4 linked regions of the Notamacropus eugenii genome follow. The protein of the gene in region 1 purifies or fractionates together with the protein of each later gene. This does not show direct contact. Links are inferred from orthologs where the notes say so. Each region holds a gene or a part of one and is shown in the gene's direction. Other genes may lie near its edges.

Region 1 (6,968 bases):
CCTAAAACACAGGTTGGAGCACATCACTTCCCTATTTAAGAAGGAATTGCTTTTCCAACAAAATACAAATTCCTTTGACGTTCATACATCCTGGTTTCAGTTTACTTTTCTAGGTTTATTACACATTACTTCCTCTCAAGTTCTCTTGGGTTTCAATCAAATCACCTGCTTCCCCAGCATAATATTCCATTTCCCATCTCTGTGATCTTTACGGGCCATCCCCCCATTGCCTGGAATTCGCTCTCTCCAAATCTCTAAAAAGTACAGGTACTTTTTAGACTCTCTAACTTCTGTGAACACCAACTCATGGGTCATTTCCTATCCCAGTTGATAGTGTTCTCTCCCGGTCCAAAATAGTTGGTATTTATTTATCTATGCCTTGCCTCTGACACATACTGCTGCAGAACTGTGAACAGATTGGTGCCCTACACATCTCTTTAAAACTGGAAAACGCAGAGAAGGGGCTAAACTTTATTGTAGAAGAAGTTTTCTTGTCCACCAGTTCTCTGTACCAATGAAATCACATATCTAGTCCCTTTCTTTGCATATCTGATTAAATATATCCCTCCCAACAGAGTGTGAGCTCTTTGAATGAGTGGGCGGGGGAGAGAGAAACATTTATTAATGATACCTGGTATCATTAATATTTATATAGCACCTAAGATTTGCAATTTCTTTACATATAAATTAGGCAGTCGGGTGGTACAACAGCTAATACTTGAGTTCAAATCTCACCTTAGACATTTACTAGCTGTGCAACCCAGATGTTTTGTGTTTCTCTAAATGTCCTTATCTCTAAAATGGGTATAAAAATAGCACTTACCTCCTAGAATTGTTGTGAGGATAAAATGGGATAATATTTGTAAGATGCTTTGTAAACAACAACCTTGTGAGGTGCGTGCTGTTATTATCCCCATTGAGGAAACTGAGTCTAAACAGTTAAGTGACCTGCGCAGAATTCATCAGTGTCTGAAGTTGGATTTAAAACTAAGATCTTCTAAACCCTAAACCCCAAGTCTTTGACTCTACCTACAAAACCTACCAGTTTAAGGAGGAGTGGGGAGGGGGAGGGGAAGGTGCTGGACAAACTCTGGGAGAGAGAAGTGGGACAAGTGTTCATCAAGCTCCCATTACTACTGTGCCAAACACTTTACAAATGTTAGCTCATTTGATCGTCACAATAATCCTCGGAGGTGATGGTATTATGACTCCCATTTTACAGCTGAGTAAATTGAGGTAGGCAGACCAGTGACTTGCCCAGGATCACACAGCTCCTAAGTTGTTTTTCAGTTGTGTCTGACTCTTTATGACTATTTGGGTTTTTCTTGGCAAAGATACTGGAGTGGTTTGCCATTTCCTTCTCCAGCTCATTTTACAGATGAAGAAACTGAGGTAAACAGGGTTACAGGATTTGCCCAGGGTCACATAGCTAGTAAGTGTCTGAGGCCAGATGTAACCCCAGGTCTTCATGACTTCAGGCCCAGAGCTCCATCTACGGATCCACTGTACCACTCAGGTGCATAGGGATAGAAAGACAAAAGTAGAGAGTCCCTGCCTTCAAGGAGGTCACACTCTAATTCAGACCAATAGGGAAAGACAACACACTGGGGGCAGTGTAGCCAGGAAGCGGCACTTTGATCAGTAAAGTTATAGAGATGGTGGGTAGGGACTCAGGGGACTAGAATACTGTACCCTTTGCAAGAAGAAGGCTAAGTTGACATGGTCATGCTTCTAGAACTGAAGAAGGGTAGAAGGGAGAGAGAAGGAAAATATAGTATACTCAAAGAAGAGAGGCTATTGGGTGAAAAGATGGTCAGGGAATAGGGAATGATGCTACAGGAGAAACATCTGTCTAAGTTCATGTGGTGGGTTAACTGCTGCCAAATATATATTTACCACAAAGCAGAAAATATAGAGCTAAAAACCTAGGTTTTCTGATGATGCTCAAGCCTAGATCAGGCCTCAGAGAAAACCTGAACAATCGTTAGGATTCTGACAAGGCTTCTTATAGGCAAAATTATGTCAGAGTGACTGAGGAATAATTCATTTTCAGATTGTAATAGTGTACATTACATTTAGGTCATAAAAGCTAAAGAGAAAATAGAGCCATGCTCCCTTCAATGTCATAAAAGTTCAACACACTTAGTTAAACATTTATAATTTCGTATATCCTCTAAGGGAACAAACCTCCTCAAACAAACTCTATAAGTAAACTAAGTCAGAATACAGATTAAACTACATTTAGAGGATTTACAAATAAACTGATTAAAGAGGAAGATTTACATGGCCAAGAACTCAGAGACAGTTGAGAATCTTTCTCTGGGTTCTTATTTAAGGAATGTTTAAGGATCTAAGGGCTAAGCAGCTAACTAGGCAGCTCAGTGGCTCCAGCACTTGATCTGGAGTCAAAAAACTGTGAGTTCAAATTTGGCCTCAGTTACTTATTAGCTGAGTGACCCTGGGCAAGTCACTAACCTCCTATTTGCCTCTGTTCCTCATCTATAAAATATGGACGCACTAGAGAAGGAAGTGGCAAACCACTCCAGTATCTTTGTCAAGAAAACCCAATTTACAAGTCAAATATGACTGAACAATAACAAGGTTCTAAGTAAATTTCCATATCCCATGGGACAGGTTTTGGTCACGAGAATTAATATAGACTTTCAGTTAACCAAAATTTGCTGGGGGCATGGTTCTCAGTCCCAAATAAATAGGAAATGAAAAATTCCCATGACAAATTGAAACTTGTCTAGAGTCTGCCTAAAACAATGTACCATTCACCAATGTGGATGTTGGGAAAACTGAGGGAAAGAACTGTTTCCCATTTTGTCTTTGTGTCTCTAGCACCTACCTAAGCACAATGCTTTGTACATTGGATGGATGGATGGATAGATGGATAGATGGATGAAATTATCTAGCTCAATGCTCTCATTGCATGAGTGAGGAAACTGAGGCTCAAGTAAGTTGTCCACAGTCATATTGGTAGTTCTAAATCCTGAGAAATTTTAGACAGAAGGTTTTTCCTCTATAGCAAGCTGCTTCTCCCTTTATCAAGGTTAAATTTCTTTTTGAATTTCCTCATACTCCTTGGGCTTCAAACACTGGCTTTTAATGCAACACTACCAGGTTTTTGTAAGAGCAAGAAGGAACTTACTTTAAACACCCCTTAGATCAACCCTGTCATTTTTTAAAAGAAGAAATAGATCACTGAACCTCAGAGAGGGGAACTGATTTGTTCAAGCCATCCAGCTATTGCAGAAGAGTAAAGGAACTGACTCAATCAGACCTATCTTCTCTGACTTTTCCTCCAGGACTCTTTTGAATTTATCTTTCTTTCTTAGTTTTGGCACGGTGGCAATTTCCTTTGGAATGGGGCTTAACTGTGACTGATCCTTCCAGATAAAAGGAAGAGAGCCTCAAGAAGGGAGGGATAACTGACTTCTAAGGGGGATGACACTGTGGTAATGGCAAATTCTTGTAAATCATCAGCCAATCCACCCTAAGCAGGGACCCAGAAAAAATTCCACCTCATGCAGTGTCAGAGGAAACAGAAAGAGCCCTCCCAGCTGTGGGAAGGCTGAGGAAATCCCCATCAGTGCCTCCATTCCCAGAACCTGCTGCTAGTCAGTTTCATTTGTCTAAGAAAGGGCCTGGGGCTTGTTGCATTCATTCCCTGCTTGGGGGTGCTGGGATTTGGTACCAGAGTATACTGAGAAAGGACCGTCCTTCCCCTTTGTCCCCCCAATATACACCCTCGGATTTTGGGTTTTTAGTTTTAATTTTTAGAACAATACACATCTTCCTGAGAAATCCTGGGAGCTGGGGTCCACTGTTGGAAGAGTCAGGTGGGTTGGAGGGATGCATAGGATGTCCAGTCTAGAACACTAGAAGCCCGGAGCTGAAGGCTTCCTCGGGTCCCTGTGGCCCCTTTAAGAGCCTGCCCGTCCCCCGCCATGTGGCCCGCTGACATCAGAGCAGGAAGTGTTTGAGGAAGTCTAGAGCTAGCAGGCAGGCTGTCTAATCCAGGTCCCTGAACCCTGATGTGGTCTGGGGGGGCACCCACCGACCTAAGTCCCTACAGGTGGTCTCCGCCTCCCTCCCTGTTCCCTGCCCTGGCAAGGGCCGCCTCCCCCTTCCCCAACCACCAGGCAGGTGAGTTCACCCCTTACTTCTCCCCACCCCCCAACCCCCGGGACCCTGAGCTGAGACAGGTGGCTTAAGGTGGGACCAGCTGTGACCTCTTTCTTGTCCCTCTCCTTGGTCACTACTCCTGACATCCAGGGAGATAATCAATCTTGTTTGTCCTTTCCTGGAGGTTTGGAAACAAATTTCTACTGAGTTCTGGAAGTTTGCTTTGCCCACCCACTCTGTTTTGTTCCTGGTTGGTGAGTGTTAAAATCCGGGAGATTGCTGTAAAGCCTAAAGAGAGAAAATACAGCTGGTGTAGGTTCCCCCACTGATCCATTTGAAGTGCGTGGTTTGGCATGGTGGGGAAGGAGGATTCATTCATAGGCTCTCCATACCATATAAAGGCGTATGTGATTTCCCAGGAAGTAAAAAATTGACTTTCAAATTTTTTATCCAGGGAAAGTAGAGGAAGGGAGTCTTAAATGGCACCTTAGGGGGATTCCTTTGGCAATCAAGGGATCTCTTTGAGTAACAGAGGTAGGAGAGGTGTTGAAGAACTTGTTAGAGAAGAGTTTCTTTTTTAAAAGAAAATAAAAACACACTTTTTCCTTCTCACTCACACCCAAAGGCAAGAATCCTCTGTCCCATTCCATCTCTCCAAGGGGTCTTGTTTTTCTTCCTCTGATCCTCCTCTGAATTCCCACAGCAGTAACTTCAGAATGAGCTGGCCACCTTCTCTTCAAATGCAGACTTGTGGGTCCTGGGAAATGAAAGAACGGCTTGGAACTGGGGGATTTGGAAATGTCATCCGGTGGCACAATGAGGTAGGTAGGACCTCTTTCTACCCTGGGAAAGAACAGTCATGAGGTGAGGGGGGTTAGTGCATTTCACACTTCACTTCCCAAGTGGCTCTAGTGAGATTCCTTCTGTTTGATCTAGGTGTGCCTATCCCACCATGTTCTGGGTTTTGATTTGGGTCTTGGTGGTAGGGTGGTCTCATTTGGAGAGAAGAGCCAAAGAGGCAGAAAGAACCTGGATCAGAGTAGGTTCCTCAGATTTGCTAATCTTCTCTAGCCTGCCTGTTGGAGAAACCTTGGACATGTTACCTGCCTAGTCAATCAACTGTCATTTATCAAATAAACCTGACTATGTGCAAGGGAAACAAGGAAAAAGTGAAAATCCCTGACCTCAAGGAGCTTATCCAGCACCTGGATTTCATTATAAACAACAAACTAATGTCCTGACAAAATCCTACCAAAAACCCCAATTTCCCTAAGGTTATTCCACACCAGAAAGTTCCGCAAGTTCTTCACCATAATCAGGAATCTGGCTGAAATGATGGGTCACATCACTGTTGGTTTGTTTGCCTCTGAGGCTCTTGACTGGACAGTCATGACCCATGATTATGCAACTCTAAATGTTAAAGTACACCAGGCCTTCTCAATTCCAAGTGGACAGGACTCTTCCTGGGTATTTGGAGGTTAAATACAAACAGCTTTGGAGTCGGTTGCTTAGGAGAGAAGCTCTCATTCCTGGTGGAGAGTCAGGAGTACTAGCCAGTCCTATACCTGAAAGGACCTGCTGGAAAAAAAGACTACCTCAAACTCACTCAAATCGCTCCACCCACCCTATGGTCTAGCATTAAGTACAATGCCCCCTCTTAGGGTCACCAAATTATTCCTACTTTAGAACATTAAATTCAATAAATATTTATTAAGTACCTACTATAGGAAAGGCACTGTACTGCAGGCTGTGGATAAAAAAACTAAACAGTCTCTGCTTTGAAGGAGTTCACATTCTATTTTAGAGATATGATGGGGACAAGGATAAGTCAATACAAAATATTTAACCCGAGATGTTGATAAAGGGTGATATTCTTATAAAGAGAGTGAATAAATAAAACGTACAGAATCTAGACTCCTTGACTGTCACAGGGACCTATCACTTCCATTTCTGTAGTGCCTTGTAGCATACAAAGTCTTTTCCTCACCACAACCCTATGAAGTCGAAATTACAAGCATTTTTTTTACCAAAGCTTTGATTTTATTGGTTTATGATAATATCAATAAGGAAACATCCTATACCTATATAGATGTGCACATTAGAGAATTGCCTGGGACAGGGATGAAATGACTTGCCCAGGATCTCATGACCCATTTGTGTAAAAGATGGGACTTGAACCTCGATCTTTGGACTTAGAGGCCTTCTCTCTATCCACTGTGCCGTGCTAACTCTCAGGTTTTGTGAGTGTTATGATGCTCATTTTACAGGTTTAAATTTTTTGCCTAAGATCAAATGACTAGAGGGGTTTTATACGGTAGTATTCTTATTGTTGAATCATGCCTGACTCTTCATGATCCTGTGGACCATCTCATCGCTAGCCAGAGCTGGCCATGGGGTTTTCTTGGCAAAGATACTGGAGCAGTTTGCCATTTCCTTCTTCAGTGGATTAAGGCAAACAGAGGTTAAATGACTTGACTAAGGTCACACAACTAGTAAGTGTCTAAGGCCAGATTTGATTTCAGATCATCTTGACTCCAGGCCCAGTGCTTTATCCACTGATCCATCAGTTGCCTCTTTATATGGTAGCACCAGGACCCAAAATTTGTTATCCAGAGTTCAGGGATCCTTGTCTTGCACCATCCTCCATAACAGATCCCTTCTCAGCTTAGTCAAAGGCAGTTACTTTTGCTTTAAAAAAAAAAGGAAAGAAGGTAGTCAAGGGAAGGAAAAGGAGAAGAGGGAGAGTAGAAAGGAGAAAGGAAGAAGGAAGGACAGAAAGAGAAAGAGAATAGGAGAAGAGAGGAGATAATTTCCATGCAAGTGTTCCAGCATTCTAT
Region 2 (6,892 bases), on another chromosome or scaffold:
TGATTCTACTTTTGTGTTTTAAATCTGGAGACTGGATGGGATGATGGAGAGAGGGGGTGGGGAAGTCCTTTTTCAGTTAAGGATTGAATTAAATGGTCTCTAACGTGCTTTCCAACTCTGAAATTCAGTGATTGGAAGACTTGTGTATCTGTGAATTTGTAGTTGTTCACATGTATAACGCTAAGTCTCTGTGAATTTGCGTGTCTACTTATTTGTGTATGTGTAATTGCTTTATGTCTGTGGATCTGTGCCTGCCTGTGCAACTCTACTTGTGTGTGTGGCTTTTGTGTCTGTGCGTGTGTCTAGGAGTTCTGGGACAATCTGCCTCCGCCCCACTGGTTTGGCCCAGCTCCGGTGCCTGCCTGGTTCCTGGCCCGGAGGTCACAACTCATCCCCTCCCTGGAACCTCCCCCGCTGTTCCTCATCACTCTGGAGCTGCCTGCGAGGTCTTTGCCAAGGGCTAAGCCCACTCACCCCTTCAGCCCCCTCACTCCAGACTGGCTCTAGGGACAGCTGAGCCGGTTTCTGCTCTAGAGAGGGGCACAATGGCCCCAAGGGCATCTCGGACCTTATTCCTGCGGGGCACAGCAGTTCATTCGGTCTTTTTTCTAGGCTGGCTGGGTTCCCAGAATGGGGAAAGGGGGAGAAGCTGTCTCTCGCTCCTGCTACTCCAGAGGCTTTCCGGAGGAAGTGGCCAAAACTCCCAGGGCTCAGGAATCTGAGGAGAAGGGAAGGTTTGGGGGAGGGGGGGGAAGGAGGACCCTGGGGCGCTGGAATCTCTAGAGGCTGGCTCTGGGGAGAACTCTGCCACTGACTTGGTCCTCTTCCTTCTCCAGCAGGGCTGGGACCAAGATCCAGGGCTCAGGCCTGTGAACGATTTCTTTCCCAATGCCCAGTATGGTGATGTAGCCACGCATCGGTGAAGCGCCTCAAGAGGCAAAGAACCACGAGGAGGAGGAGGTGGGGAATTAGGCCACCATGGAGCCGCCTCCGGCGCTCCAGGTTGTGCTAGGGAGTGAGGTGATCGCTCTGCACTACAACTACACCGGCAAACTGAACGGGGCTCGCTATGATCCCGGCAGCGGCTTGCGCGCAAGTGCTGCAGTCTTCCTGGCAGTGTGTGGCCTCATCGTCCTGGAGAATCTGGCGGTTCTGCTAGTCCTCTGGCGGCACAAGAAGTTCCATGCGCCCATGTACCTGCTTCTGGGAAGCCTGACCCTCTCCGACTTGCTAGCCGGCGCCGCCTACACGATCAACATCCTGTTGTCTGGGGCCCGCACCTTGCACCTGTCGCCCGCTCTCTGGTTTGCCCGCGAGGGCGGTGTTTTCGTGACACTGGCTGCCTCGGTGCTCAGCTTGCTGGCGATAGCGCTGGAGCGACACTTGACCATGACAAGCCGTAGGCCGGCGCCCACACACCGGCGGGGACGCACCCTGCTGCTGGCGGGAGCTGCGTGGCTGGCGTCCCTGCTGCTCGGGCTTCTTCCTGGCCTCGGCTGGAACTGCCTCGGCCGCCTGTCCCAGTGCTCCACAGTGCTTCCCCTCTATGCCAAGTCCTACGTGCTTTTCTGTGTGCTTGCCTTCCTAGTCATCCTTGTGGCTATTTTTGCGCTCTATGCCCGCATCTATTATCTGGTGCGTGCCAACGCAAAGAAGTTGCAACTTCGGGCTGCGTCCGGAGGGTCCCGCCGCCTGCCCAAGTCTTTGGCGCTGTTGCGCACGGTGACCGTGGTACTGCTGGCGTTCATCTTGTGTTGGGGACCACTCTTCTTGCTTTTGCTGCTGGATGTAGCGTGCCCAGCTCGAGCCTGCCCAGTACTCCTGCAGGCAGATTACTTCCTGGGCCTAGCCATGGCCAACTCGCTGCTCAATCCCATTATCTACACGCTTACTAGCCGGGACCTACGCCGTGCGCTCCTGCGCCTTTTCTGCTGTTACCCGTGCTGCTGCTGCTGCTGCTGCTACAGGCCCCTGCGCCCAGGGCCAGGTGGTGGTGAAGGTGTGGCCAGCGTACGCCTCCGGCTACCGCCTATACTGGAGTGCAGCACCAGCAAGTCGGAACGTTCCTCGAACCGACATGAAGTCGACACGAGCGTCTCCACAAGCAACGCCACGCCCACTCCAGTTAAGACTTAGGTGCAGAAAGTCACAGACTGACACTTTATTCCCCAATCCCTCTATAGGACCCAGTCCTCTCCTTCTGCACTATTTTTAGATTACAGGTTGTTTTTATTGTTGTTTGAAAAATAAAGTAATTTGTATTAGAAAGCCTGAGTATCGGGGAACGGACACACCTCGGAAACCTAGATCTCGAGGAGAACCTGGCCTGAAATTTTGAAGTCCTCATTAGAAAAACCCAGAGTCGTCAGTGTCAGGTTAGGTTCTAACTTCCTTCGCTTGGAACTCCAAGTTAGCCACCCTACATAAGCGATAAAAGGGAAGAGCCCTTGCCAAAGACTCAATCTCTCTGCTGGTCAAGGCTTGTGGGAAAATCTTTGTGCTGCCCCCATCTCATGCCTGGCTGATCTGTGCATACGCTAACCCGAATCCAAGTGTTGCTCTTATTTTTCCCATAAAATAACACCTAAGAGCTCTACCACGATCAGTCAGTCCCCTACCCTTCTGAGATGCAGATTGCACAGCTCTGACCTTAGAGTCTCAGTTTCTAAATCTGATCTACACTTCGCTGCCCTAGCCTACTAGCGTCTGCGCGCCTCCACCTCCCGGTAGCCCCCGGAACTGCAGAGGACCTAGGTAGCTTTGTTAAGGAGGCTGGAAACCCAGAGATGGGCGGGCGAGTTGGGGGGTAAGGGGAAGGGAGAATTCCAGTTGCATCTTGGCTCAGGTCTCAACCTCTCCTTAGATTCCAAGTTTTAGTTATTCCAAGTCCTGTCCAAGTCTGTGGCCTTGAGTTACTTGAAACTCCTTCCCCTAATCCCAGGCGATCCCTTTTAATGCCTTGGAACCCCGGGATCTTCCTCTAAATCCGCTTAGATTGAGACCCTCGGATTTACAATGATCCTGCCGCAGCCCTGGCCAGAGTTGGTCCTTTCTATTACACCCATCCTTTCCCTTCCCAGCCACCAGCATCCTGTGGATCCTTGGATTCCCAGGTCTTTGATACACTTCTTATCACCGAAGCAGAGGGAGGCTTCCAAGAGTAGAGAGGCACCCAGCTCCTGGGGACTCTGACCCCTGGTCTAGGACACCCGTGTCACGCCCGTCTGGGTAGGAGCCGGAGTCACCCGCAGGGCTGGGAGAGGAGTCGCCCTCTCCTTTTTCTCCCTCCCTCTAGGTGTGTTTCGGGGATGGGGGCGGGGTGGAACTGCCGTTTTTCTCCAAAAGTTCAGGCCTCAGTGAGTGCGGGCAGGTGCCTCGGCGGTGGTGAACAGCACGTGCTTTGGGATCCTCAATCACTCTCTACGCCCGGCCTAGGAAAGGCAAAGGCCTGGCTTCAGGTGGCCGGAGGAGAGGGGGTCAAGTGAGGTGTTGAGTGTAGCCGCGCTAGCCTGGAAGGAGGGGCGGGCGAAGCATCGAAAGCAGCGAAAGGTTTGCCAGCCGCAAGGGCTGCTTCTGGGGCAGGGCTGGTGAGTCACGGACAAGCTGGGCCACTGGGGTCGGTCCAAGAGGCAAAGTCGGACATCCCGAGAGCTTGTGGTGAGTCCTGGGGCCAGGGGCCCATGAAGCCCCAGCCGAGGTCGCATCACGCCCTGGGCTTCCGGGACAGGCTAGCCCCCAAGGGCGCTCAGACTCCCCCCAGCGCCGGGGTCGGGGAAGGTAGCCCAGGGGAGGCCCTCCAGCCTCCGCCTCTGTCGCCAGTCACACGAAGTAGCTCCGTTTCCACGCTTTCCTTCGCGCTTGGGTTACCCAGGGACGACCCTCGGACGGGGGAGGGGAAAGAGGCGGGAGCAGGGCCCCTCCCCTACTAACCTAGCCTCCTAACTCTTTCTGGGGGAGCAAAACCAAGCGTGTCCCCTTTTCCCCTTGCGCTGGCTGGAGGACCCGGCTATGGGCGACCCCGTTGGCCGAAGCCCGGGTGGCGGACCAAGGGACTCTTATTCTGACAAGGCCGGGGCGCGCGGTCTGCTTAGTCACGGTGACTTTATCCTCCCCTCGCCCCGCCCCTTCTCCTCCCCCCCTCCCCGCCATCTCCCTTCCACCGCTCCCCCCACCCCCATCCCCCCCGCGCGCCGCGATGGAGGCGCCCGAGCCCGGGAGGCGGAGGCGGCGGAGGAGGAGCAGGAGTGCGGCCATGGCTGGGTGAGTAACGCGGCCGCTACCGCCGCCGCCGGAGCTCGCGCCCACGGGGCTGCGGGAGGCCGCGGCCGGCAGGGGCCCTGCCCCGAGCCGGGACCAGGCAGCGGGTACGGCGTTTCAAGAGCCCGCGACCTCGGTGCCTGCTCGGGTTCGGGCTCTGGCGCCCGGCCGGGGGGAAGGCCGCTGTGAGGGGTTCGGGGTGGCGGGCCCCGGATCCTCTTTGCAGCCCGGGGCCCGCCTGGCGGCGCGGGTCGAGGCTGTCTGGAGACAGGCGCACCCTTACCGCGGGCAGGCCCGGCCCGGCGCCCTCCCGGCCCGGCGCCGCTTTGTTTCCCCACGTCGGCCCGGCCTTCCCCGCCCGCGCCGGGTTCCCTCCTTCGGAGGGCGGGTTCTGGGGCTCAGGGCCCGGCGCTGGAGGGGCCCAGATCCTATCCCGGGCTACCCCAGGGCCTGCAGAGCCAGTTGCGGGCGGGCCGGGCCGGGGCAGGAAGTAGGTGCGCAGCCATTGCGCCGCCCCAGCCTCGGGCCTCGGGCCGGCAGGCCGGGCCCCACCGGTGACATTCGTGCGGCTGCCCCGGCTTTGTCCCCTTTGGGCGGCCCGGCGGCCCGGGGAGGGTGTGGGGGGAGGTTCGGGAAGGGAAGGAGCGCGAGCCCCGACGTCACATAGCTAGGAAGCTGTCCCGCCAGGCTGGAACCTGGGGCTTTCCTCCAGCCGGGGCTGGGCCAGGGATGACCCAGAGCAGGGGCGCAGAGGGAGCCACCAGCCCCGAAATAGCAGGACAGGAGTGGAAGGCAGGGGTGTCACATACGAGTTAGGTAATGTGGGGGGCGCCTGGTAGGGATGTGGGGGGTGCCTGGTAGGGATGTGGGTGTCCACTATTTAGACAGAAAGGTATCTCTCAGATATTTAGGGTAGTTGTAACACTGGTTTGGGACCATCTGCTTTTTGCACTTGGAGCCAGAGTTTGGAGTCTCAGGAACTGGTTTTGAATTCTATCTCTTACCACTTGTGCATTAACTTCTCATATCCTCAGCTTCCTTATCTTTAAAATGAGGTTGACCTCTGGGGTCTACGATCCCATCAAGGCTCAGATCCAGACCAGAGAAGCCTCAACCAGGAGTCTGGCTGGGGAATATACTTATTATCTATTTACATAGCCCTTTTAAGTTTTGCAAAGTACTTTACACAGGTTGTCTCATTTGAAAGAGGCTCCACCCAGGCTAGGATTGCTACTTGGAGTGCCAGCTGATATTGATAGGGCTCATTTTTAGGTTGGCATTCTAAGCACCTAGGGTGGGTGGAGGCTGGCTGCTCTCCCCTGGGATAGTCTTCTTAGCAAAGGAGAGAAGTTTCCCCAGGAGAGAGAAGCAAGCCCATGGAGGAGTGGGTTCTCCCTACCAGGACTGGCACCTAGGGCCTGATCACCATCCCCTCACCCTCACTCCCAGGTGTGTGATTCCAGGCGGTGGCAATGTTTTTCTAGAGCCTGATGAAGCCAGTGTCTGGGCATAGCAGGGGTGTTCCCTGTGCCCATTCTCTCCCCCTTCTGTCCAAACGCCCTGGGGGGGCCGGCTATGCGGTGATGTATGCCACGGAGTGCAAGGCGGAGGTGACACCCTCCCAGCATGGCAACCGGACCTTCAGCTATACCTTAGAGGACCACACCAAACAGGCCTTTGGCATCATGAATGAGCTTCGGCTCAGCCAGCAGCTATGTGATGTGACTCTGCAGGTCAAATACGAAAATACACCTGCTGCCCAGTTTATGGCTCACAAGGTTGTACTCGCCTCCTCCAGCCCAGTTTTCAAGGCCATGTTCACCAATGGGTTGCGGGAGCAGGGCATGGAAGTGGTCTCTATTGAGGGCATACACCCCAAGGTGATGGAACGACTCATAGAGTTTGCCTACACTGCCTCCATCTCCATGGGGGAGAAATGTGTGCTGCATTTGATGAATGGGGCTGTCATGTACCAGATTGACAGCGTAGTTCGGGCCTGCAGTGACTTTTTGGTGCAGCAGCTGGATCCCAGCAATGCCATTGGCATTGCCAACTTTGCTGAGCAAATTGGCTGTGCTGAACTCCATCAGCGTGCCCGGGAGTACATCTATATGCACTTTGGGGAGGTAAGTGTGTATATGTTTGGTGGCCTGGGAGTTATCAGGTGGTAGTGGTAGTGAGTGATTTACTTTCTGGAGATAACTCTAGTCCTGTGCCTATCAAAACATCACACCTCTGGTTGAGGTGTATAGAGTCAGAGTGAAAAAGCATAATTTGATGGAGTCTGGCTGCTACCTGTACTTGTTCATTTGTTTAATAGTACTGCCTGAGCTTTGGGGAGGAGCTGGGAGCATTCTGTTTCCCTGTGTCTCCACTCAGGGGTGGCCCCACTGAAAGCAGGAAGTACACAGCTCCTGATGGTGGTAGTCCAATCCCAGGAGGATGGGGGGGGGGGGGGGGGCATCGCTTTGGACTGCAGTCAAGAACCTCCTTGCTCCCACTACCTCTCATCCCCTCTACCAGGTAGCAAAGCAGGAGGAATTCTTTAACCTATCCCACTGCCAGCTGGTTACACTTATCAGTCGGGACGATCTCAACGTGCGCTGTGAGTCCGAGGTCTTCCATGCCTGCATCA
Region 3 (7,851 bases), on another chromosome or scaffold:
TGGAGAGGTAACTGCTAAGATTCTGGGCACAAAAATCCCTTTCTGTGTCCAGACGAGTACAAGCTTGATTGCACCACCTTGGAGGAACTGAGATCTTACATATTCCCAGAGTATATCCAACTCTTGACAAAGGACCCAAAAGCCAAGTAACTGGTTGGGAAAAATGCCCAAAAAAGGGAAAAAAAATAAGACTACAGAAGGTTACTTTCTTGGTGAAGATATCTTTTCCCATCCTTTCAGACGAGGAAGAACAATGCTTACCATCAGGGAAAGACATAAAAGTCAAGGCTTCTATATCCCAAACATCCAAAATAAATATTCAATGGGCTCAGGCCATGGAAGAGCTCAAAAAGGATTTTGAAAATCAAGTTAGAGAGGTGGAGGAAAAATTGGGAAGAGAAATGAGAGAGATGCAAGAAAAGCATGAAAAGCAGATCAACATCCTGCTAAAGGAGACCCCCAAAAATGCTGAAGAAAATAACACCTTGAAAAATAGGCTAACTCAATTGGCAAAAGAGGTTCAAAAAGCCAATGAGGAGAAGAATGCTTTCAAAAGCAGAATTAGCCAAATGGAAAAGGAGGTTCAAAAGCTCACTGAAGAAAATAGTTCTTTCAAAATTAGAATGGAACAGATGGACGTTAATGACTTTATGAGAAACCGAGAAATCACAAAACAAAACCAAAAGAATGAAAAAATGGAAGATAATATGAAATATCTCATTGGAAAAACAACTGACCTGGAAAACAGATCCAGGAGAGACAATTTAAAAATCATGGGACTACCTGAAAGCCATGATCAAAAAAAGAGCCTAGACATCATCTTTCATGAAATTATCAAGGAAAACTGCCCTGAGATTCTAGAACCAGGGAGCAAAATAAATATTGAAAGAATCCACTGATCACCTCCTGAAAGAGATCCAATAAAAGAAACTCCTAGGAACATTGTGGCCAAATTCCAGAGTTCCCTGGTCAAGGAGAAAATATTGCAAGCAGCTAGAAAGAAACAATTCAAGTATTGTGGAAATACAATCAGGACAGCACAAGATCTAGTGGCTTCTACATTGAGGGATCAAAGGGTGTGGAATATGATATTCCAGAAGTGAAAGGAACTAGGACTAAAACCAAGAATCACCTACTCAGCAAAACTGAGAATAATACTTCAGGGGAAAAAATGGTCTTTCAGTGAAATCAAGGACTTTCAAACATTCTTGATGAAAAGACCAGAGCTGAAAAGAAAATTTGACTTTTAAACACAAGAATCAAGAGAAGCATGGAAAGGTAAATAGCAAAGAGAAGTCATAAGGGACTTTACTAAAGCTGAACTGTTTACATTCCTACATGAAAAGACAATATTTGCAACTCTTGAAACTTTTTTCAGTATCTGTGTAGTTGGTGGGATTATACACACACATACACACACACACACACAACACACACACACAGACAGAGAGCACAGGGTGAATTGAATAGGATGGGATCATATCTTAAAATAATAAAATTAAGCAGTGAGAGAGAAATATATTGGGAGGAGAAAGGGAGAAATGGAATGGGGCAAATTATTTCTCATAAAAGAGGCAAGTAAAAGACTTTTCAGTGGAGGGAAAAAGGGGGGAGGTGAGAGAAAAAACATGAAGCTTACTCTCATCATCTTCAACTAAAGGAAGGAATAAAATGCACACTCATTTTGGTATGAAAACCTATCTTACAATACAGGGTAGTGGGGGAGAAGGGGATAAGCAGGGTGGGGGGGATAATGGAAGGGAGGGCAGTGGGAGGAGGGAGCACTCTTGGGGAGGGATAGGATCAAAAGAGAGAACAGAAGAAACAGGGGACAGGATAGGATGGAGGGAAATATAGTTAGTCTTACACAACACAACTATTATGGAAGTCATTTGCAAAACTACAGAGATATGGCCTATATTGAATTGCTTGCCTTCCCAAAGGGAATGGGTGGGGAGGGAGGGATGAAGAGAAGTTGGAACTCAAAGTTTTAGGAACAACTGTTGAGTATTGTTCTTGCAACTAGGAAATAAGAATACAGGCAATGGGGTATAGAAATTTATCTTGCCCTTCAGGACAAAAGAGAAGATGGGGAGAAGGGAAGGAAGGGATGTTAGAAGGGAGGACAGATTGGTGATAGGGGTAATTAGAATGCTCGGTGTTTTGGGGTGGGGGGAGGGGAGAAATGGGGAGAAAATTTGGAACCCAAAATTTTGTGGAAATGAATGTTGAAAACTTAAATAAATAAATTTAAATATAAAGAAAAAAAGATGAGGAAACTGAGGCAGATAGAGGTTAAGTGACTAGCTGAGGATTACACAACTAATATAGTGTCTGAGATAGAATTTGAACTCAGGTCTTCCTTCCCTCAAGCTGTTTTATTTACTACACTACCTAGTTGGAGGTATAACAGACAATGCAGCCAGTACCAGGAAGATGTGTGGTGGAAGGAATGTCATTATCAGGAATGTCAGTGCCAGAAGATAGAAGGAGAGAGAAAGGAAGAGGTTTAACATGAAAGGAAATTTGTTAATTATGGAGCAAGTATTCCAGAGAGTACAGTGGAACAGGATTGATACATCTGGAGCAGGATTCTGTTAGGGTTTGGGTTGAGTGGGATGGGAAGAAGGCTTGTAGTATGTGTGTGTGTGTGCGTGCGCACGTGCATGTGTGTGCATATGTATATATGCACATCATATATGTGCACATGTGTTAGCATATATAGGAATGTTTATATATATTTACACATATAAATATATGTATGTGTTGTATGTATCCATACATATACATATATGAAAATAATGTGGTTTTACTGGTCTTAGGGATATTTCTTAACCAACGGGTAGTTAGAGATGGGGAACAGAATTTGTACATTAGTAACCATGGGGTCAGAATCACTGGAATGGGGAGAGTATGAGGGGGTGAGAGTATTCTGGCCTTTGAGAAATGAGGCCAAAAAGAATAGCAGTGATTGGAGAGAGATCTATTTGGGGAAGTAGGTTCAATATTGTTCAATATAGGTGGAGCTCTGGGCCTGGAGTCAGGAAGACCTGAGTTCAAATCCTACCTTAGACACTTTCTAGCTGTGTGACTATGGGAAGTCACTTAACCTCTGTCTGCCTCAGTTCCCTCAACTGGAAAATGGGGATGAAAAGAGCACCTGTGGTGAGGATTCAAATGAGACATTTGTTAAGTGATTAGCAAAGTGCCTGGCATATGGAAGATGCTTAATAAATGCTTACTCTTCTTCCTACTTCTTGGTGTTGTCCAATCTCATGGTAGATGATGATGTGTCCTGTGAGGGTCCTAGGAAGCTAGTCTCACAGCAGGGACAAGTAGGTGGAGGTAAGGCCCTGTGAATCTAGAAGCCCATTTAAGGAAGAGGAAGATGTGGGGGTGGGGGGGATCAAGGAGAAGCTGGGGAAGGGAGCGGAGGGGAGGGAGGGGAGGGGAGGGGAGGGGAGGGGAGGGGAGGGGAGGGGAGGGGAGGGGAGGGGAGGGGAGGGGAGGGGAGGGGAGGGGAAGGGAGGTAGACGTAACTGAAGTCCCTGCAGGAAGAGATGGATGGAAGCCAGGAGGTGGGTAACTGGTTCAGATTCCTCAAGGTGGCTGATAGCTAGAGAAGTTTTTGGGGGCCAACAGCTTCTGTCTGGGCCTCAGTTTTCTTACTTGTAAAATAAGGAGATTGACTAGCTGTTCTCTAAACTCTTCCTCTTCATGCTGAGGGCAGCAGAAATCACAGCCCTAAAAAACAAAAATAAAATCAATTACTCTGGGCAAAGCCTTCACCCCCCTCTCCACATCAGGTTCCCCACCGTATCTGTAAACCCTAGTGAGGAGTCTCAAATAGTCTTAAAAGAGCAAATGAGATCCTCTTGCCTTACTAAGCCAGGTTCTCGGGCAAGGGATTATGAATTTAATTTGTCTCTGATCATTTTCTTCTCAATTCATCCTGGATTTATCAGCATGTAGGTAAAATGCTGGGCTCTGGGGGTGCAAAGAGAAAACACAGCCCTTGCTCTCTGAGAGTTTTTTTTTTACTGAGCTAGAGGAGCACAATAGAGCTGAGACTGTTGGGGTTCAGATAGTTGAGGGGAAAAGTAATTTCAGGAATTTAGTGAGGATGGGGATGGGGAAAAGTGTTTATTTTTGGAGTGGCAAATTTTGCAACTGGCCTATCATATTGCTCTTCTGGTGGCCCGACTTTACTAATCTTAGATCTCTCTTCCCTCCCCCCCTTCTCTTCTTCCCTTTCTCTTTCTTTAATTCTTTCTCTTGTCTTTCTTTTTATAGTCATCTTTTTTTTTTCCATCACTAAATGTCTACTGGTATGCCTCTCCCTACCCTTCCCAGAGAGCCATCTATATAACAAATATTTTTAAAGGGGAGAGGAGGAAAAGGAAGGATTAAAAAAAAACCTAAAATCGAACGAAGAAAGTGAGAATATATGCAATGTTCCGCACGGTGGACCTCTCCCTTCTGCAAAGGAATTGGGTAGGGGTGGGCTGTCTTCTCATATTAAAGACCCCAATCAACCACCTGCCCTCTGGAGTTACCTGTTCTGAACCAGGGTGGGGCTCCCTTAGACGGTTTTCAAATTGACGTTTCCTTGTTTTGAACTTCACCTTAGGGTCAAGCAGACAATTAGGTCCTGGTCCTTTAAGCTTTTTTTTTTCAGAAGGTGGGGAGGGGAAATGACTCATTCAGTTCCCAGTTTAAAAAATGTGCTGGTTTTCCCTTCGCTGACTTTTTTTTCTTTTCTTTTCTTTTCTTTTTTGCTGAGAATCAGTATCTCCGGGCGCCGCGGGGCTCGCGCTGGACAGCTTCTGAAGCCTGCAGTGTGCCCAGACAGAGCTCAGCCAGCGGGATCTTTCCGGGCTGGTGACTTGACTTAACTTTGAAAGTGCGGAACCGAGAGAGATAAGAGAGGCGGCCCCGCCACCATTTGAACGCGGAATCCACTTCGGTAGGTGAGTTGCCACGGTCCAAGGAAGGAAGGAAGGGGGGGAAGGGGGAGAGAAACCCAATCTCTTACTTTTTCGCGAAGTAGAACCAGGATTTAAGTGACTTCTGTTGTGCTGGGCACTGTTCTAAGGGCTGGGGATTAAAAAAAGGCAAAAAACAGTTCTCAGAAAGTTGTCAGTCTCGCGAGGAAGATATGCAAGATATGCGAGATACATGTATCATGTCCAAACAAGATACATGTATCTTGTCTAAATAAGATACATAAAAGATAAATTGGAGATAGCCTCAGAGGGAAGACGCTAGCATGACAAAGGACCAGATGTAGAAAGTAGAATTTTACCTGGAACTTGAATGCAGGGCAGTCTGGAGGTGTAGCTGGGGAGGGAGAGACTTCCATGAGTGGAAAACAATAATGAAAATGCCTTAAGGTGACAGATGGAGCATTGTGTGTGTTTGTTGTCTGTTGTGACATGAGGAAGGTGCTGTCTCGACTTGCAAATAAGTTTTTAAGTGAGGGAGGGCTGTGCAAAGTCACCAGACTCATTCTCTTCTCCAGTGAGTTCTGGGTCCAGTGGCAAGCTATAGATTAGGACGACTGGAGATGGCTCCAGATGCAACATTGAAGAGTAAATGGGAATTGGAGGGGGGGAGGGAAGGTTACTAAGTTGTAAAAAAAGAAAACCTGGAAAAGTTAAAGAGTAAGTGGAGGGGACTGAGGTGGAAGAAGTCAGAGGGGACCGAGATTATGAAGGGCAGTTGGAGATATGAGGAAGGTGGTCAGGAGAGAGATTAGGGCTAGATAAATAGTTATGAATAAATACAATCTTTAACTTAGAAAAGATCGTGAAATCCATAGAAGCTGATAACATCGCCAAACAGAAACAGTATAGAGGGAGAAGAGGTCGAGAAGGATCGAGACTGAGAAAAGGTCACTAGATATGCTTTTAAGGGATCATTGGTAAATCTGGAGAAAGCAGTTTTAGTTGAATCAGATTTTAAAAAGTTGGGAGAGTGAGAGAAACGAAAGTGAAGGTATTGATTGTCAGTCAGTCAAGTGCCTACTGTGCATCAGGCTGTGTTAAGCAATGGAGATATAAAAAGAATTCGTGCTTCTCAAAAGAGCTCACAATCTAAAGGAGGAAAACATATAAAAGGAAAGGAAAAAGAGGTATCAAGTGCAAAAAAAAAATGTTTGGGAGATTCAAGAGTGCCACTTGGAATAGAATGAATACCTGATGGGCCCAGGCCACCTCCTTAAGATGGAGGTTCTGGGTGGAGCCCAGGGGAAGCGAATGTCCAAGAGTCAGAGGGTTCCATTTTGAATATGAAGTCTGGGAGTAGCGTGAGTTCCAGAGTAAAGAGACATTGTAGAAAAAGTTCTTTCTTGGGCACTGTAGAAAATATCTAGAAGACCCAGGAGGGAGGACCAGAGAGGAAAGGGTTTTGGGGAAGGTTTGTGTTTGCCCTTACTGGTGTGTTTATAGGCAGTAGAGAAAAAACCAGTAGATGGAGAGAAAATGAGGATTAGTGGGAGTGGAGATGACAGAGGAGTGATCTGCTGGAAAAGACAGGGTGGAGTGAGATCACTTGTGTGTAAAGGACTTTGACTTGGCAAATAGAAGGGTCACATCATGTGAGACAGTGGTGAAGGAGGAAATAGGAGTGCAAGGCATCTGAGTGATAGGAGATGAAGAAGGAAGAAGAGGGGGCTCTTTGTGAATGGTCTCAATCTTTCTTGGTGAAATAGGAGGCAAGCTTCTCAGCTGAGAGAACTGGAGGAAGGGGAGCAATGGGAGGATTGAAGAGAGGCAAAAGGAATGTTAGAAAATGATGATAAGCTTATTGTAAGGAATGTTTATTCCAATACTTTAAGGATCTATAATTTCCCTGATGAGAAGACCCCTCCACCAATGCTGATCACAACCTCTCTACCATTTGTCAGGTGGTCTTATCAAAGAGCTATTGTCCCTAATAGTCACAAGCAAATCAAATTCATCTTAGGAAGGTTGATCTAAAGGAAGGATTAAAAGGAAAGAAAGAAAGGCAGTATGCAGACGTGGGGAATCTGTAGCCTCCAGATCACCTGTGGCCTTCTGGGTCCTTGGGTGTGGCCTTTTGATTGAGTCCAGGTTTTGCAGAACAAATTCTTTTTATTAAGGGGATTTGTTTTGTGAAGTTTGGATTCAAAGGGCCTCACTCAAGGACTTTGAGGGCCACATGTGGCCTCAAGACTATAGATTTCCTACCCTTGGATAGATAGTGTACTGGACTTGGAGTCAAAAAGAACTGGGCTCAAATCCAGACACCTACAAGTTGTGTAATTTGCCCAGTTTCTTTGGACTTAGTGACCTGGAAGATCTCGTCTACTTCTGGAATCTATCATCCTATGAAAGTGAAAGAACCAATGACGAAATCTGCATAAAGCATCAAAGAAAAACATGAATACTGTAGGCACTTATATAATACATGTATCAGTCTGCTAGAAAAGGTTTTTAAGAAAAAAAATTATTAATCTGTAACCAAACTCTTTCTAGCATGGAGAGGGATGATGAAATTGGCATAATCCACATGCACTTTGACATGACTCTGTCCTAGAAAAGCTTACTGGTAACATGTACACCTAAGGAGTCTGCACCAAGGGAAAGATAGCTTGTGTTGAAATTCCATCCCATCCCCTGAGTAACGCTGTGATTTGTGTGGATCGTATCTACTGATTTAAAAAAAATTATTAATTCATTCATTTAAAAATAACAAGTCATTATGTTAACATAAATAATATTTTAATGAAAATTACTGTTTTCCAAAACAAAAGAATATTAATGATGAGACTGGCACTGTTTCACATAGTTTTGCAAATCTCTTTAATGTCTGTCTTAATGAAGAATA
Region 4 (7,851 bases), on another chromosome or scaffold:
TCAATAAAGCTACAAAGTTTACTTACAAAGTGAATCTGCTTTTATGTTTTATTATTATTGTATTGCTGATATATTTTAATATTTAATATTATTTGATAATATTTTAGTTAATATATTTTAATGTTATAATATTTTAGTTAGGTACAGCTAAACAGAGCAGTGGATAGAGTGCTGGGCCTGGAAGAAGACTCATCTTCTTGAGTCCAAATTTGGCCTCAGAGTCTTACTAGCTGTGTGATCCTAGACAAGTCATTTTACCTTGTTTGCCTCAGTTTCCTCATCTGCAAAATGAACTGGAGAAGGAAATGGCAAACCACTCCATTATCTTTGCCAAGAAAACCCCAAATAGGATCACAAAGCATCAGATGCAACTGAAAAATGATACAAAAAAGAATAAATGGTTAATGTAAGAGTCTACAATTGATATTCTTTTCAAGTACATAGACCTAGAAGTCCTAGGAACAATTTTTGGAAGGTGAGAGGAGAAATGAGCAGAGCCCCCTTCAAAAAAGGCAGGCCTCTCACAGAGCAACCATGGTACAACATCTGTAACCAGGGTGGAGAGTCTGGATAGATGGGGTGGGTAGTAGCATCCAAAGTTAGGTCTGTCTTCAAGAAGATAGCTCTTCTCTTCTGTAATGGGAGGTAATTTCCTTAAACTAGTAAAGGGGAGAGGTAAGAAATGCCACCTAGGCACACCTGTGTCTGATAGCAGCCTGCTGTCTCCACTCTCCAAGGCCTTTGTATGCATTCTCAATTTCAGCTCAACAACCAATTAAAAGTCTTCACCTTCAACAGTGTAGTAAGTGGATAGTTGCTCAAATGCAAAATGTACACTTGCCAGAAAGACTATTTTATGGAGAACTCACACAGGGCAGTCATTCACATGGTGGTCAGAAGAAATGATACAAGGACACTCTCAAGGTCTCGCTTAAGAACTTTGGAATTGATTGTCACATGGGAGACACTGGCACAGGACTGCTCAACATGGCATGCTCACATCAGAAAAGGTGCTGTGCTCTATGAGCAAAGCAGGATTGAAGTAGCTCAAAAGAAACAAGAGATGTGCAAATTTAGAGTATTCAGAAAGACTATTTGTGCCTGACCTGTGGTAGAGCATTCAGAGTTCATATTGATCTGATCAGGCAGAGATGCTGAAACTTGACTCTATCATAGTGATACCATTTTGGTCCTCTTCCAGAATGGACAGCAACCAACCAACCAAATGGATAGGAAACCATGACATGGTATGTATTGGGACAGGGCCTCTCCCTTCCACATTTATAGACTTCCATAAGTAGCTCACCAATACCATCCCCAAAACCTCAAGGGGCTGGCAGCAAGTGAAGCAAGCTACATGTACTCTAAGGATGGGGTTCCCATTGGCCAGTCTTACTGAGATATACCAGTGAAGGGGGAGGTGTACACAAAGACTGAACTGAGTAGAAGGTCTTACTTGCTCTGTGTGATCCCCCAGGAAAAGTCACTTCACCTCAGTTTCCTCATCTGTAAAGTGGGGCTAAAAATAGCACCTACTTCCCAGGGTCATTGTGAGGATTAAGTGTTATATTTGTAAAGTACTTAGCACAGTTCTGATATTGAGGCAGCTAGGTGGCTCAGTGGATAGAGTACTGGGTCTAGAGTCAGAAATACCTGAGTTCAGTCTCAGACATCGACTAGCTGTGTGACCTTGGGCAAGTCATTTAACCTCTGCTTCAGTCCACTGGAGAAGGAAATGACAAACTATTTTGTCAAGAAAACCACATAGACAGTATTGGCATGCAATAGTCCATGGGTTCACAAAGAATTGGACTAAACAATATTATATCTTGATATGGAGTGATGCCAAAAAAATATATATATCTATATATCTATATACACACACGCACACACACACCATCTTCTTTTTCAGGAGCTAACACTGTGTGGGTGTGGATGGGTTTATGGCTGTGTGTATGCTATAAAAGATGACAACCATCCCATTAAACACCCTTCCTGGTCTCAGTTTGTTCACCTGTAGAAATAAGAGATTGGACTAAGGACTCTTTTCCAACCCTAATATTCTGTGACACAAATAATTTCTTTGTGGTGAGTCAGGAAATGGTGATTGGGGTGTCTAGAAATATGGCGACAGACAAGTTCGTGGATTTAATCCTAGAAAAAACTTTAAAACGATAGATTGAGAGCCATGGAGGACCTCAGCGAGAGGCTCCCATTTTACTACTGATGAAACTGAAATCCAAAGAGGGTGAATGTGTCCAAGGTCACAAAGAGAAGCAGAGCTTGGATTCAGACCCAGGTCCTCTGAGCCCAAATCCAGCACTCTTTCCATGTCCTTAAGTAGCATTAAGGTAAAATTAATTTTCAAGTTCTTAATAGTCATTGCTAGGCAAGGCACTTGTGAAAGGATCTTAGAAAAAATTAATATTTATATTTGCTGAGTAATTTTAAATCCTATGCATTCAGATTTTTTCAGAGAGCCAAGATGGTTTTTAAAACATTACTGGAAAAGAGTATATATCAAGATACTCTTATTCTATATGCTACTGATAAGATTTATCTTGGCCTAATAATGGAAGTGGAATCTAATTAAACTCTAAATATATGGTGGAAACAATAAAAACAGTGGAGGGGGAGGGAGGGGGAGCACAGAACTTCTCTTCTCATTTTTATTGAAATTTTCATTTGTTTTTACTCTATTGTAGTCTAACTTCCCTATCCTTTCAAATAAAACTGAACTATAATAAGGATTTTAAAACAAGCACTGTGTGCTTTCCTCTCTCTTATTACTCCCTAAGCTGAAAACCTAGGATCTGTTGTTCCCTTATCTACTTAAAAAAAAAAAAAAAGCTCTATCTTCCATAAACGTCCTTATGATTTCATAATGATTTCATTCAGCACCTACTTCATAGATAAGTCATGTGATATTCTTGTAGTTGGGAAAAGCCACATCCCTAAAACTTAGCTGTCTATTCCAGACACTGGGCAAGGTTCTTAAGATCCCACTTCTGCTTTCTGCAACAGTTTAGTGTTGCAGTATTAAAGCAATTTGATCTATACCACATACTATTTTGTTCCCATTAGAGGCCAGCACACTATACAATTGGAAGGATGGTCTATAAAGTTCATCCAGTAATTTTCTGCAGCAACAGAAGCACAGATCCAGGCCCTAACGTTATCAGATGTTGATGAATAGACATCTGTCCACATACTCAAAACTGATTCAAAGTGCTAGTAAGGCAGGATATGGACCTAAGTCCATATCATTGTTCATAACAGAGCAGTATGGCCTCCTCCAATGGGAATGAAATGACATGTGGTATGGAGTGAATTGCATTTAAATACTAAATCTGAACTGTTGGTCTGCAGAAAGCAGACAAGTATACCCTGAAGAACTTTACCAGAAGTCAAGGATGGACAGCTCAGCTTTAGGGATATAGGTTTTCCCAGCTACAAGGATAGTAAGTACATGGCTCATTTATGAAGTAGGCGCTAAACTGAAAAAATATGGGCATCTATGGCAAATAGCGCTTTTGGCTGAGAGGGTAGTAACAAAAAATAAAAATTTCAGTAAAAATGAAAGAAAAGTCCTGTAATTTTTTGTCTCACACCACTGTTTTTATTGTATCCACCAGATATTTAGAGTCTACCTGGAGTCTACTTCCATTATTAGGCACACACAATACACAACACACACAAACATACACATACACGTAAATCTTGAATAGACACTACAAATGAGCCATGAGCTAGCCCAGGACTGAACGAGAGAAGAGAATAGGCTACATTGCCATTGGGAAATTGCAGTTATTTTAATGACCACAAACTTTCCCTTGAAACAGGGACCAGTCTTTAAGGTTAACATTCTCACCATTATGTAAAATAGCTATAACATACATTATCATTACGTTATTAGAGAAATTCATATTTCTGTAATATTTTACTACAACTTCTGACAATTTCGGGGGGAGGGGGGGAAGCAACGAAACAAACCAACAACTGAATTCTGCTGCTCTTTAGTAACATATGCAAAGTCAGTTTCCCACTGATCTGAGGCATTTAGGGAAAAGAGAAACTGAGGTGGGGAGATGAGAGGGGTGGTGCTTGGACATCCCAAAGCAGGGACAGGGGAGTAAAAGATACACATGGTCCAACATAGTTCCCAAATCCTTCTTTGTTATTGTTATAACCAGTAAAGTTAGTAAAAGTCTTTGTGACAGAATCTGTGAGGTTTGTAAAGAGATCCCCTGTAGCATTCATCCAACAACCTTTAGAACAGAGATTTTTCGTGGACCTTTAATGGGTCTACGAATAGTTTTGTAACAGTCCACAAACTTGGATAGGAGAAGAATACATCTTGATTTTCACTAACCTTTAACTTGGCATTGCCTTCTATTATTATTTAAAAACATTATTCTGAGAAGGGATCCACATTCTTCATTAGATGACCAAAGGAGCACATGGCACGAAGGTTTACAGCATTTAATTGGACAAAAATCATCCGGATGTTCTGATATAAATAACATACTTTCCTAAAAGAAGGCTACTACTTTTTTTTTATTTTACCCTTATCTGTGTGGTGCTAGTGTTGTTTCCAGGATACGGACCACGAAGATAAGAAATTCCGCGTCAGACAAGACTTTAGCCAAAACACTAGAAACAGTGTTTCCGCTTCTGCTATGTATCTGTGCAAGCTTGCCGGAGAGTTTTCAGGGGCGGTGACGTGGGGCTCCGGCTATATAAAGGCCGGAGAGGGGCAGACTGAGCAGTCAGAATCACGGAAGCGTGGCGCATCCCTCGGCTTCCCTACTCCTTGTCCTCCGCCCTGTCGCCAATCCCCACCCCGGCAGCCCCTGCTGACAGTCGGTAGCTCCCGGACTGGGAGATCGCTCTGCGGGCGGGCCAGCCCTGCCCCGCCAAGCGCACCCTGTTGTCACCAGCAGTCACGTAGCTGCGGGACCCTTGGAAGAGCCAGGTGAGCGGGTCGGGAGGACGGCCACCCCCGGGCTGGCGTGCGCCAGAGTCGGCCTTGGCAGGGCCCTCTCCGGACCCCAGGGACCCTTCTTCTTTTGGGAGGGCTTGACGCCCTCCGTTGCTACTGTTGCAATCCCAGAGTTTATTCGGGCGGAACTCGGGGGTGGCCTCCAAGCACTTTCTTCTCGCTCTGGGCTGGGGAGAGCTTTGTGTTGCCCCGAAAAAGAAACTAACTTTGCCCCAAGTTGCGACTGCGCGGTTTCAGCCTGCCTGGTTGATTCGTTAATGGCGAATTTCTGGGCAAAAACCTGCGCCGCTGGGGCCTTCCCTATCTGGACCGGGACTGAGGCCGCCGGTCACCAGACGGGACGGTCCTGACAGCCCTCGAGGTGCAGCCCCGTCCTGCTACCTAGACGGCTGCCCGCCTCTTTCCTGGAAGCAGAACTCCGTGGGCAGGGTTGTGGTCTTGGTCTGTTGCACTGGAGGGGCGGCCCGTAGTCTGTTCTGGTCGGGGTGGAAAGGCTTTGTTGAGCCCTCCAGCCGTGAACGTGACCTTCCCGGAGGGACTGAATCTGAGAATGCCAGCTTCTCTCGTCCCAGAGTCAGTGCTTGATTATGAGAACGACTTGCTAATCTGCCTCTGTCAGTCTCTGTGCCCCTGTCTCAGTTTCTTCTTCTACGGATATAGAAATACATCTATGAGACTATATTGCTAAAATGCAGAAGTGTAGATGGCAGAGGTGTGCCTCCCAGGATGGACTGAGTCAGCTGTTCACACCGGGGTATCTAGCCTAGTTGACTTTGGGAAGAAAACTGCTGAATCCTACTGTGGGCAACACTTGTCTCAAGACATTTCCCTGACTTTAGTAGGCGAATCAACCGAGAGGAGAAATTGTGTGTTAGTAGGAATGGGTGTGGGGTGGGGAAGGTAGAGGTTTCGTGCTGATTGGACAGCCCCGATCTTCTGGGGAAGATTGGGGTGGGGTGGGGATTTGAGGGGGAGAGAGGGGGGAAGTGGACGGAAGGCAGTGTCCAAACTAGTTCTTAAATGTTTTACGTCACAACCCCGATAGATAGTCTCCGTCTAGGCTTTAGGTAAAAATCAACCAGATGTTTTGATATAACCGACATTTTCTTCTCTTACATATAAAGTACATTTTGCTTTTCGAAAGTGAGTTATTGCTGTTTTATTTCTGCGTACTGTCTTGGTCTTATTTTTGCACCGTTTATTTATGACAGATGCATAATTGTTTAAAGTTCTGTTGGCTATTTTAATAAAATGTGGCATTAGCAATAGAATTTCTAGTGCAGTTTTCACTTAGAGTATTTTACTCAACAATCAAAGTTATGGCAAGTTATTATAAATCAAATTAGAGTCATTGGCCCTATTTGGTTCACAGGATCATAGACAACTTGTTCTTTCCCACTTATATCATTCTCTTCCAGTTGGAGAAACTAGGGCACAGAGCTATCAAATGAACTTCTGAGTGCCTGGGGTAACCATGGGCACTTACGCCTTTTCCAGAGATGCTGAGGAAAATAGGATTTCATCAGGGAGTCTCTCCTCCAACGCACACTGTCTGTGTGAGCCTGTACCAGTATTTCCAAGATTCTAAGTTGGAGATAAGGTGCTGATCTGCATTGAGATTCAGTTTCCTCACCCTGAAGCTTCCCATACCAAATGAAATAATAGGTCTGATCATTATCCCTATCCCTATGTCCACAGTGAGATGTAGGAATCAATAAAGCAGTCAACAAGCATTTAATAAATGCCTACTATGTGCCAGGTATTGGGGATAAAAATACAATAAATGAAATAATCCCTTGGAGCCTGCACTTTCAAAAATAGAAGTAACAATATTTATAAACAAAAAATTATCAAAGAAAGATTTTAAGAAAGGAGTGTCCTTGAAGGTTTGAGTCTGTATTTCTAATGTATAAAGTATTGAGACAGGCAGTGTGAGGCATTGTAATAATAATGATGATGATAATAACAGATAATTATATAGCACCTACTATGTGCCAGGTACCATGCTAAGTACTTTACAGTTATGATTTCATTTGATCTTCACAACAACTCTGGGAGATGCTAATATTGACCCCATTTTACCGATGAGGAAATTGAAACAAATACAGATTAAGTGACTTACCCAGGGTCATAAAATTAGTAAGTGTCTGAGGCTGGATTTTTTTTTTTATTTTTAAAATTTATTTAACTTTTAACATTCATTTTCACAAAATTTGGGGGTCAAATTTTCTCCCCTTTTGTCCCCTCCCCCCACCCCAAAACACCAAGCATTCTAATTGCCCCTATCACCAATCTGCCCTCTCTTCTATCATCCCTCCCTTCCCTTGTCCCTATCTTCTCTTTTGTCCTGTAGGGCCAGATAACTTTCTATACCCCATTACCTGTATTTCTTGTTCCCTAGTAGCAAGAACAGAACTCGACATTTGTTCCTAAAACTTTGAGTTCCAACTTCTCTTCATCCCTCCCTCCCCACCCATTCCCTTTGGGAAGGCAAGCAATTCAATACAGGCCATATCTGTGTAGTTTTGCAAATGACTTCCATAATAGTCGTGTTGTGTAAGATTAACTATATTTCCCTCCATCCTATCCTGCCCCCCACTGCTTCTATTCTCTCTTTTGATCCTGTCCCTCCCCAAGAGTGTTGACTTCAAATTGCTCCCTCCTCCCATTGCCCTCCCTTCCATCATCCCCCCTACCCTGCTTATCCCCTTCACCCCCACTTTCCTGTATTGTAAGATAGGTTTTCATACCAAAATGAGTGTGCATTTTATTCCTTCCTTTAGTCGAATGTGATGAGAGTAAACTTCATGTTTTTCTCTCACCTCCCCTCTTTTTCCCTCCACTAAAAA

The links.
Region 2: the proteins of IKBKB (region 1) and KEAP1 purify together in Homo sapiens (affinity purification with western blotting; 7 studies listed by BioGRID and IntAct, with this or other methods). This does not show direct contact. The link is inferred for Notamacropus eugenii from reciprocal best matches to the Homo sapiens genes IKBKB and KEAP1.
Region 3: the proteins of IKBKB (region 1) and CASP8 purify together in Homo sapiens (affinity purification with western blotting; 3 studies listed by BioGRID and IntAct, with this or other methods). This does not show direct contact. The link is inferred for Notamacropus eugenii from reciprocal best matches to the Homo sapiens genes IKBKB and CASP8.
Region 4: the proteins of IKBKB (region 1) and RIPK1 fractionate together in Homo sapiens (co-fractionation; 3 studies listed by BioGRID, with this or other methods). This does not show direct contact. The link is inferred for Notamacropus eugenii from reciprocal best matches to the Homo sapiens genes IKBKB and RIPK1.

What each region holds. Positions count from the first base shown.
Region 1 is NC_092872.1:618,298,701-618,305,668, reverse strand, and holds the start of IKBKB (inhibitor of nuclear factor kappa-B kinase subunit beta), read left to right. Parts: upstream 1-3,957; 5' UTR 3,958-4,152; intron 4,153-4,834; 5' UTR 4,835-4,847; coding exon 4,848-4,952; intron 4,953-6,968.
Region 2 is NC_092875.1:79,705,423-79,712,314, forward strand, and holds the start of KEAP1 (kelch-like ECH-associated protein 1), read left to right. Parts: upstream 1-3,892; 5' UTR 3,893-4,008; coding exon 4,009-4,260; intron 4,261-5,706; exon of another isoform or gene 5,707-5,741; coding exon 5,742-6,383; intron 6,384-6,780; coding exon 6,781-6,892. Other genes in the region: S1PR5 (sphingosine 1-phosphate receptor 5), read left to right, coding at 979-2,136. UniProt on the Homo sapiens protein: Substrate-specific adapter of a BCR (BTB-CUL3-RBX1) E3 ubiquitin ligase complex that regulates the response to oxidative stress by targeting NFE2L2/NRF2 for ubiquitination.
Region 3 is NC_092877.1:297,410,444-297,418,294, forward strand, and holds the start of CASP8 (caspase-8), read left to right. Parts: upstream 1-4,833; 5' UTR 4,834-4,970; exon of another isoform or gene 4,971-5,097; intron 5,098-5,305; exon of another isoform or gene 5,306-6,568; intron 6,569-7,851. UniProt on the Homo sapiens protein: Thiol protease that plays a key role in programmed cell death by acting as a molecular switch for apoptosis, necroptosis and pyroptosis, and is required to prevent tissue damage during embryonic development and adulthood.
Region 4 is NC_092875.1:172,236,819-172,244,669, forward strand, and holds the start of RIPK1 (receptor-interacting serine/threonine-protein kinase 1), read left to right. Parts: upstream 1-4,850; 5' UTR 4,851-4,975; intron 4,976-7,851. UniProt on the Homo sapiens protein: Serine-threonine kinase which is a key regulator of TNF-mediated apoptosis, necroptosis and inflammatory pathways.